Sus scrofa: one gene and its partner. The protein of the gene in region 1 purifies or fractionates together with the protein of each later gene. This does not show direct contact. Links are inferred from orthologs where the notes say so. Each region holds a gene or a part of one and is shown on either strand. Other genes may lie near its edges.

Region 1 (3,942 bases):
GTCCTCACTTACCTGAGGGCATATATTCCAAGATCCTTAGTGGATGCCTGAAATTGTGGATAGTACTAAACTCTACATATACTGTTTTTTCCTCTATTAACAGGTACGGTGTAAGAGGTGCTAAACAGAGAGATGATTCACTTCCAGGGCTGGTTGGAGTGGGATGGCTAGAGATTTCAAGACTCTACTCACAGAGTTCCCATCCTGGCTCAGTGGTTAATGAATCTGACTAGGAATCATGAGGTTGCAGGTTCAATCCCTGGCTTTCCGCAGTGGGTTAAGGATCTGAACCTTCTTTAAGGAGGGACTACTACATTCATTGGCAGCAAATGCTTTCCTTATTAACCCGAGACTCGGATACACTATTTAGCTTCTTTAGGCCTCAGTTACCTCTCTCATCTGTAAAATTAGATATTTGGACCTAATGACACCTTTTCCAGTTCCCTCTCCGATATTCTGTGATTCTAAGAGGCCCCTCGCTTCAACATACCTCTACCTTACTGTGGTGGTGGGAAGGGGAGGGGGGACGAACCCCAGAAGGACTGCCTTCGTGTTAACGGCATTTCAATTACTCCAGAGAAAACCAACTGCAGATCAAAGGAGGAAAAAATGAAAGGCAATGAAGGGAGGAAGAAGAGATTAAAGAAGAGGAGGGAGATACCAATGGAAAGATAAACAGCATGCAAATAACCTAAGTAGCATGCAAATAACTCAAGATAACCTTCTAGGGTACCTAGTTTTTACAAGGCAACCCTATCTCAGTAGCCCTCTGAAGATACAGGGGTAAGACACTGCTCTCTTCCCAAGGCGCTCACAGAAAGCGGGGTTACACTTCGTATTTCATCTTGGACCTAAAACTTCCACCTCTCTAAAAACCCTGGCTGTGAGAAATATAAGAAAAGCCGACAAATGCAAATATTACCAAACGTTTGAGAGTGCCAGAGCTCCGAGACAACAGTCTCTGGAAACAAGTGGGACCACCCCCTGCCCCGCCCCCCGAGCCTAACCCAGACACACAAAAGAAACCGCCGGTGCACTGGGAGCTGCAGATTCCGCTCTCGGCGGGCCGAGCCGGCAGCGGCTGAGGAGCCCGGCGCCCCCGGCCGCCCCCGCCTCGGCCCTTGGGCCTCGGAAGTGACGCAGCGCGCCCCGCCCCCGCCGCTAGATCCGCTGCTGCTGCCGCGGCTGGCGGACCTGCAGGAGGCGGCGGCGGCGGCGGCGGCCGAGGCCGAGGGAAGATGGCGGACGGTGTGGACCACATAGACATTTACGCGGATGTGGGCGAAGAGTTCAACCAGGTACGTGAGGGCCCGGGCTCACGCCGCCGAGTTGGGCGGCGCTACGGGCGGGAAGAGGACTCGGGGCCCGCCGCGGGCCGCGAGCCGGCGTGGCTGCAGACCGTGCGCCCTTGGCGCCTGTGGGCCGCGCCGCCCGACCCCGGCGCGGCGCCCCCCTTGCCCGTCGTTCTACCGCGTCGTTTCACGGGCCGCGGGCGCGGCGACCTGCCACGGGGCTCCGAGCGCGGACGCCGGCCGCCGTGCAGCCACCTCCTGCCCCTCCCGCGCCTCCGCCTCGCTCTCCATTGTTGGCGGCGGCCGGCGGGCGCTTCCCGCCGCGCTAGGCCCGGGCGGCAGGACGGCGTGTGCGCGGCGGGGAGAACGGCGGCCCCGGCGCCCCCTCCCCCGCCGCCGGGGCGAGGAGGAAGCCCGGCGGGGCGCGCGCCGGCCGCCGCCTCGCCCCCAGCCCTGCCGCTCGGACTCCGATTCCTCCAGTCGCTCCATTTTGTCTGCCTTTCGGTGCACGGTCGCCTCATGGAAGGCCGCGTTCACGGCCCTTTGTATCCCGCGCGCCCTGCTTCCTGGGCTCTCCTGCTCGCGTTTGCGACAGGTTTCGGCGTGGTGCCTTCCTCCTCCTCCCTTCACTCTTTAGGAAGGAGGCTAAGGTGCGGGCACGTTTGCAACAAGTCCTTTGACTTGGGATCGTGTGTGAAAGTCGGTGGCGCTGGCCCTGCCCCGGTGGTCGAGGGCTTACGGTGCCTTTGAGGCCCAGCTGCTCTTGGCCTTTGTGATGAAAATACCAGTTAGATCGGTGGCTCGGGCCAAAAGGAAGACTTGGAAGCGCGATGGTTGGATGGAATAAAAAAGGTAGCTCACCAAGAGATCAGAGTTGTGATTAAAGAATTTCACACGCATTTCATATGGTATAGTTTTAAAATAAAGGTTGTAGCAATGAACCGATTTCCAAAAGCAAAATGTTTAGTGTCCTCCGAGGAGTTAAGAGAGGCCAGAGAAAGTGAGAATGCAAGGTTTTTTTTCTTGTATCGCAGGCCGCAGTTGCCTAGAAGGACTAGCCGCAGGAGCTGTGATGTCTGATGTTGAGCATCCTTGTAAAAGGTTGTTACTAGAGTAGTGACGTTTAAGCTGTAAACCTACTGTTCACATTTTTACTGCCTTTTATGTAGCAACACATTTTAAAAAAATCAAATTGTGCCCGACTGCAGTGTACGTAAAGGCTTTATTTTTTTCATATTTTCCAAGTCCTTATGAGAAGCTCAGTAAAATTCTACTGGTTAATGTGTTTTTGTGGGTTTCGAAAAAACCCTCTCCATTAAGACTCTTATTTGTGACGCAAGATTTTTTTTTTTTTTTAATAGAGAAAGCTGGAAATCCTTGCAGGTCTTTTTTTGAAGATTGATTGTATCCCTGTTTTAAATATTAGAAAAAAAATTCAGTTAGCTTTAATGTTTCCTATTCCGTTTATATATTTAAATGTAACCCGTTGTAATCAAACGTGAAGTTTGAAAATCTGTCTTCTTTTTATTGTGTTTACATTTTGGATATGTGATTCCTGAGATGTGTCAATGACATTTTAGAAAATTACCTTGAGTGCTACATGGTCAGATTCTAAGCTTTTTTAAGGTCTGTAGACAAAGACTTCTAGGAAATTTCCTTTCCTTTTATTAAATGAGTATAACATTGCATAGAAAAGAGGTCCATATCTGCAAGTAAAGGAACAATTAAGTGTTCAACAGTCTTCGTTAGCTTTCTTACAAGAAAATTTACTGTTTTTCTCCCCATGTTAAAAGAAGAATTGAGCTACACTTTTAGAAGTTGAGCTTTCTTCAGAACCTTTTAATGGAACATTTTTTAAGCTTTGGCATACTTAATTTGGGATGGACATTTCTCTAATCTGTATAGCTGGATGGAGTGATACTTGCTTATCCCTGTGCAGTAACTAGTGCTGACTGAGCAGGAGGTAAGGAGAGATTAAAATTTTGTGGCACCAATGAGGAACTGCTTTATAGGGTTCTTGTAAAAATGTAACTTTTTGTTGACTTGTTCCTATAGCATATGTTTCTCACATAGTTGTATGATTTTACCAATAAAATCTTTGTACTTTTGAATAGGTTAATGGAATTAAATAGAGGCTTTGTTGTTGTTATTGTGCATTGATTGGCCTTTGCAATCTACTGCTTGCTGTGGTAGTTCCTGGTTGAAATATGGCCACAAAAAGATGGTTGGTTGTTTTCAAGGTTTGTCCTTCATTTAAAAAAATGTAGGTATCATTGAAATATTTTTCTGAAATCTTGTCAGAATTAGAAGCAACTACAGAATTACTGTGATTGATTTAATTCACTTTCTAATTCGCTGGCAACCTTACTTCTACTGGTTGCTCTAGTAAAGTGACTCTTATTTTGTTGTAGTCGAGTAAAATGTTTTGCTAAATATAATGGGTCATGGCTTATTTTGACTTCTAAACTACTGTAAACATTTAAAAACAACCTTTAATTAAACTGTATTCTCTTAAATTCTTTGTAGTTTATGTATTTTCCATTTTCTTCTGTTTTAAATGGCCATACTTTTATGATCCTTTTTTCCATGTGTGTATTTTGGTAAAGCTCATTATAAACCTGTTGCAGAAAGTGTAAGACATTACATTTTT
Region 2 (3,500 bases), on another chromosome or scaffold:
CCTCCCCCGCCCTTTTTTTTTTTTCAAGGAACTCCATGAGGGCAGACACTCTATCCACAAGCAATATAAAAAACCGAATTGGTAACAAATTACCGCCTGAGAAATTTGCGGATGTCCGACATTTGTTAGATGAAAAACGTCAGCACACACGTCCACGGCCACCAAGCAGCAATACTAAAACAGGTATTGTTCCGTTGTGTTTCTGGACTTCATTCTGAGTTCCAGAAAGGAATTCGGGGCAGGGATAGATTCTTGGATAAAATGTTATAATTTGTGGACCAGTTTAGTTGTGCTGTTAATCACTTCTAAATTTTAGGTTACGCATTGGGATTTTAGGACGTGAAATTTAATCAGACCTTTGCAGTACTGGCTTTCAATATTTTTGTCCCAAACAGTTATTCTACCCTGTATGTCATTGGTGTACTTTATACATAAGGACAGTAGAAATTAAGTTGGGTTGCGGTGTAAATGGTTAAGCATTTGAACTGGTTAGTTTATATGTGCAAACAGGCTTATAGTGAATCCTCGGCCCTGCTCGCTGTGTGCCAGGGCCAGGTGCCAGGAGCGTCAGAGTTCTGCAGGGGGTGCGAACTCATCATCAGAACGCAGATGGAAAGCAGTAGAGCCCCCATTCGGATAATTACACCCAGAGCAGAGGGGGGGACACTGTAAGCGGTGGCCTGTGGGAGCAGAGAGGGGCGGTCGGCCACCTGGGGGAAGATCTCCTGCGGGAGGCTTCTCAGAGGTCGTGGCTGTAGAGCGAGGCCTTGCAGAGGACGTAGGCTCTCAGTTGGCCAACCTGATTTTTTTGAGGTGGGTGGTAACATGATGTTCTCTCTGTTGCAGAAAGAACTTGGTGGCAGGGTAGGGTGCAATAGAGAGTTAAGTAAGAAGCAAGGGCCTGACCTAGGTCAGGGACAGTGGGGACAGGATTGATGGGAACGGCACACCGTGTCAAGGAAGACGACTCGGCCCTGGGAGGTGTGGCAGGAAAGGGAGAGAAGCCAAGGGGCTCAGGCCTGAGCAGCTGGCAGACGGGGACGCTGTTCTCAGAGAGCAGGATGAGTGAAAGGCCAGCACAGCCACTCCTGTCTGCCTTTTTGTTGTGCTGTTCCTGTGAGAGGGAGCTCAGGGGACAGGCAGATTTCCTGGACCGAAGGCGGGGGTGGGAGGCAGTGGTTACAAGACAAACCAATCTCATTTGGGACATACTCCTTTGATCCTTTGCTTTTTGTCAGGCTCATTACATTTATTGTAAAATGTAATAGTTTTATTGAGAACTTCTTATATGTTTAAAGACTGCAGCTTCCACCCTGAGGGAGCTCGCAGTATTTGTTGTTAGTTGAAATGTTTATAAACTATTTGCTCTGCTTAATTCTACTTTACTTATTTATTTGTTTTTTTGTCTTTTTAGGGCCGCACCCATGGCATGTGGAGATTCCCAGGATAGGGGTCGAATGGGAGCTACAGCTGCCCGCAACGTGGGATCTGAGTCTCTTCTTTGACCTAACGCCGGATCCTTAACCCACTAAGCAAGGCCAGGGATCGAACCCATGTCTTCATGGATACCAGTTTGGTTGGTTAACCGCTAAGCCACGACAGGAATTCCATGCTTGATTCTACTTTTAAAAAACAAACACACACACAGAAAGCAGTCTATTCTGTCTCAGAAATTCCTTTCTGGAGCAGTTGGCCTAGATTTTTTTCCCTATTTGAGCCCCTGGGGGTTCTCATTCGAGTTTTGCTGGGGGGGTGGGTCCAGGCTGACTGTGAAGAGGGAAGGCTCTTAGAAGCTTGGTTGTGTCGGGTCCCATGCCTTTACTCGGGGAGATTTGCACCAGGACCTGTAGAGACCTCGGGGTGAGTACAGACAGCAACGCATACGCCTGTGGCCACCGTAGTACTTTGTGTTTTCTTTTTGTAGATATACGCCAGCGATTAGGAAAAAGACCATATTCTCCAGAAAAGCCTTTTAGTAGTAATCCGGTCGTTCGGAGAGAGCCCTTTTCTGATGTCCATAGTAGGCTCGGCGTTCCCAGGCAAGACGTTAAAGGCCTCTACTCGGATACTCGGGAGAAGAAATCAGGTTGGTAAACACTTGAAAGTGATGGGCGTGGGAGTTGGGTCAGGGCAGAGACACCGAGGGCGAGCGTGGAAACACTCGCTGTCAGAAGGCAGGAAAGAGCGTAAGACAAGAATAAATTATTTTTCCTCTTCCGTTATAATCATTGTCATCCACGCCATCATCGTAATGATAACAATGGGAAATACAGAAAATGGAGAAAAAGAAAACCCACCCCTGATTCTTTCTATTTAGCGCATGGTTTCATAGATGCTATTCCAGTCTTTGCCTGTATACATGTCCTGCTCTGTTCCTGCGGCATTTTTTTAAGCTATTTATTTATTTATTTATTTTTGTTTTTTAAGGCCACACCCATGGCATATAGATGTTTCCAGGCTAGGGGGTGGAATCAGCTGTCATCCTACACCACAGCTCACGGCAACACCGGATCCCTGACCCACTGAGCGAGGCCAGGGATCAAACCGAATCCTCGGGGATACTAGTCAGATTCATTTCTGCTGCGCCACAACTGAAACTCCTGTATCATCTTATCATAGTCATTTTTCCACATTGTTGTTGTCTTTACAAGTAAAACTTTAAATTGTCTTAGAGTGTGACTATCCTATGGAATTCAAAACATGTATTTCTCTATTAAATATCAATATTTTTTAAATAATGGAGTTCCCTATTGGCTCCGTGGGTAAAGGATCCAGCTTTGTCACCACTGTGGCTCTAGTCACTACTGTAGTGCGGGTTTGATCCCTGGCCTGGGAACTTCAGCATGCCACAGGTGTGGCCCAAATAAATAAAGTGATAAAGAACAGAACAAAATAAAATTAAAAAAAAAGTAATGAAGAGTGGTCAGAATCTGAAAGTTTACAGAGAGCATGCAGGCCTGTCAGTTTGCCCAAAGTCTTACCTGGGAATGATCTGGAATGGCCCACTCCTGGCAGAATGAAGTTGTGCACAGCATGGGGAGTCTCCCCGGGAGAGGGCAGGTGTAGCATAAGCAGGCTCCCAGGCGATTCTGTGTGGCTAGCGTGGGAAGCACATATCCGCAAGCCGTGAGAGTCTCCTGCTGGGTCCAGTCCCCTCGGTCTACACCGCACCAGAGAAATGAGGCCGTCTGCCCAGGTCTGCATCGTGGTTGCAAGTGCCACAGATCCCCCCGTGTTTCTTGCATGTCAGGTGTTGACAGTAGCCCTGTTTCTCAGCATCGACTACCAGAGCTGAAATGCCTTCTCACCCAAACAGGTAGTTTATGGACTCGCTTAGGATCTGCAACCAAGACCAAAGAAAAGAACACGAAGAAAGTGGATCACAGGACGCCCGGCACTGAGGAGGATGACTCGGAGCTGCAGAGGGCGTGGGGGGCTCTGATTAAGGAGAAAGAACAGTCTCGCCAAAAGAAGAGCCGGTTAGATAACTTACCATCTCT

What was found.
Region 2: the proteins of CPSF6 (region 1) and NCBP3 purify together in Homo sapiens (co-immunoprecipitation; 3 studies listed by BioGRID and IntAct, with this or other methods). This does not show direct contact. The link is inferred for Sus scrofa from reciprocal best matches to the Homo sapiens genes CPSF6 and NCBP3.

Annotation. Positions count from the first base shown.
Region 1 is NC_010447.5:33,524,526-33,528,467, forward strand, and holds the start of CPSF6 (cleavage and polyadenylation specificity factor subunit 6), read left to right. Parts: upstream 1-1,142; 5' UTR 1,143-1,238; coding exon 1,239-1,298; intron 1,299-3,942. UniProt on the Homo sapiens protein: Component of the cleavage factor Im (CFIm) complex that functions as an activator of the pre-mRNA 3'-end cleavage and polyadenylation processing required for the maturation of pre-mRNA into functional mRNAs.
Region 2 is NC_010454.4:49,887,760-49,891,259, reverse strand, and holds part of NCBP3 (nuclear cap-binding protein subunit 3), read left to right. Parts: intron 1-28; coding exon 29-183; intron 184-1,924; coding exon 1,925-2,086; intron 2,087-3,316; coding exon 3,317-3,500. UniProt on the Homo sapiens protein: Associates with NCBP1/CBP80 to form an alternative cap-binding complex (CBC) which plays a key role in mRNA export. NCBP3 serves as adapter protein linking the capped RNAs (m7GpppG-capped RNA) to NCBP1/CBP80.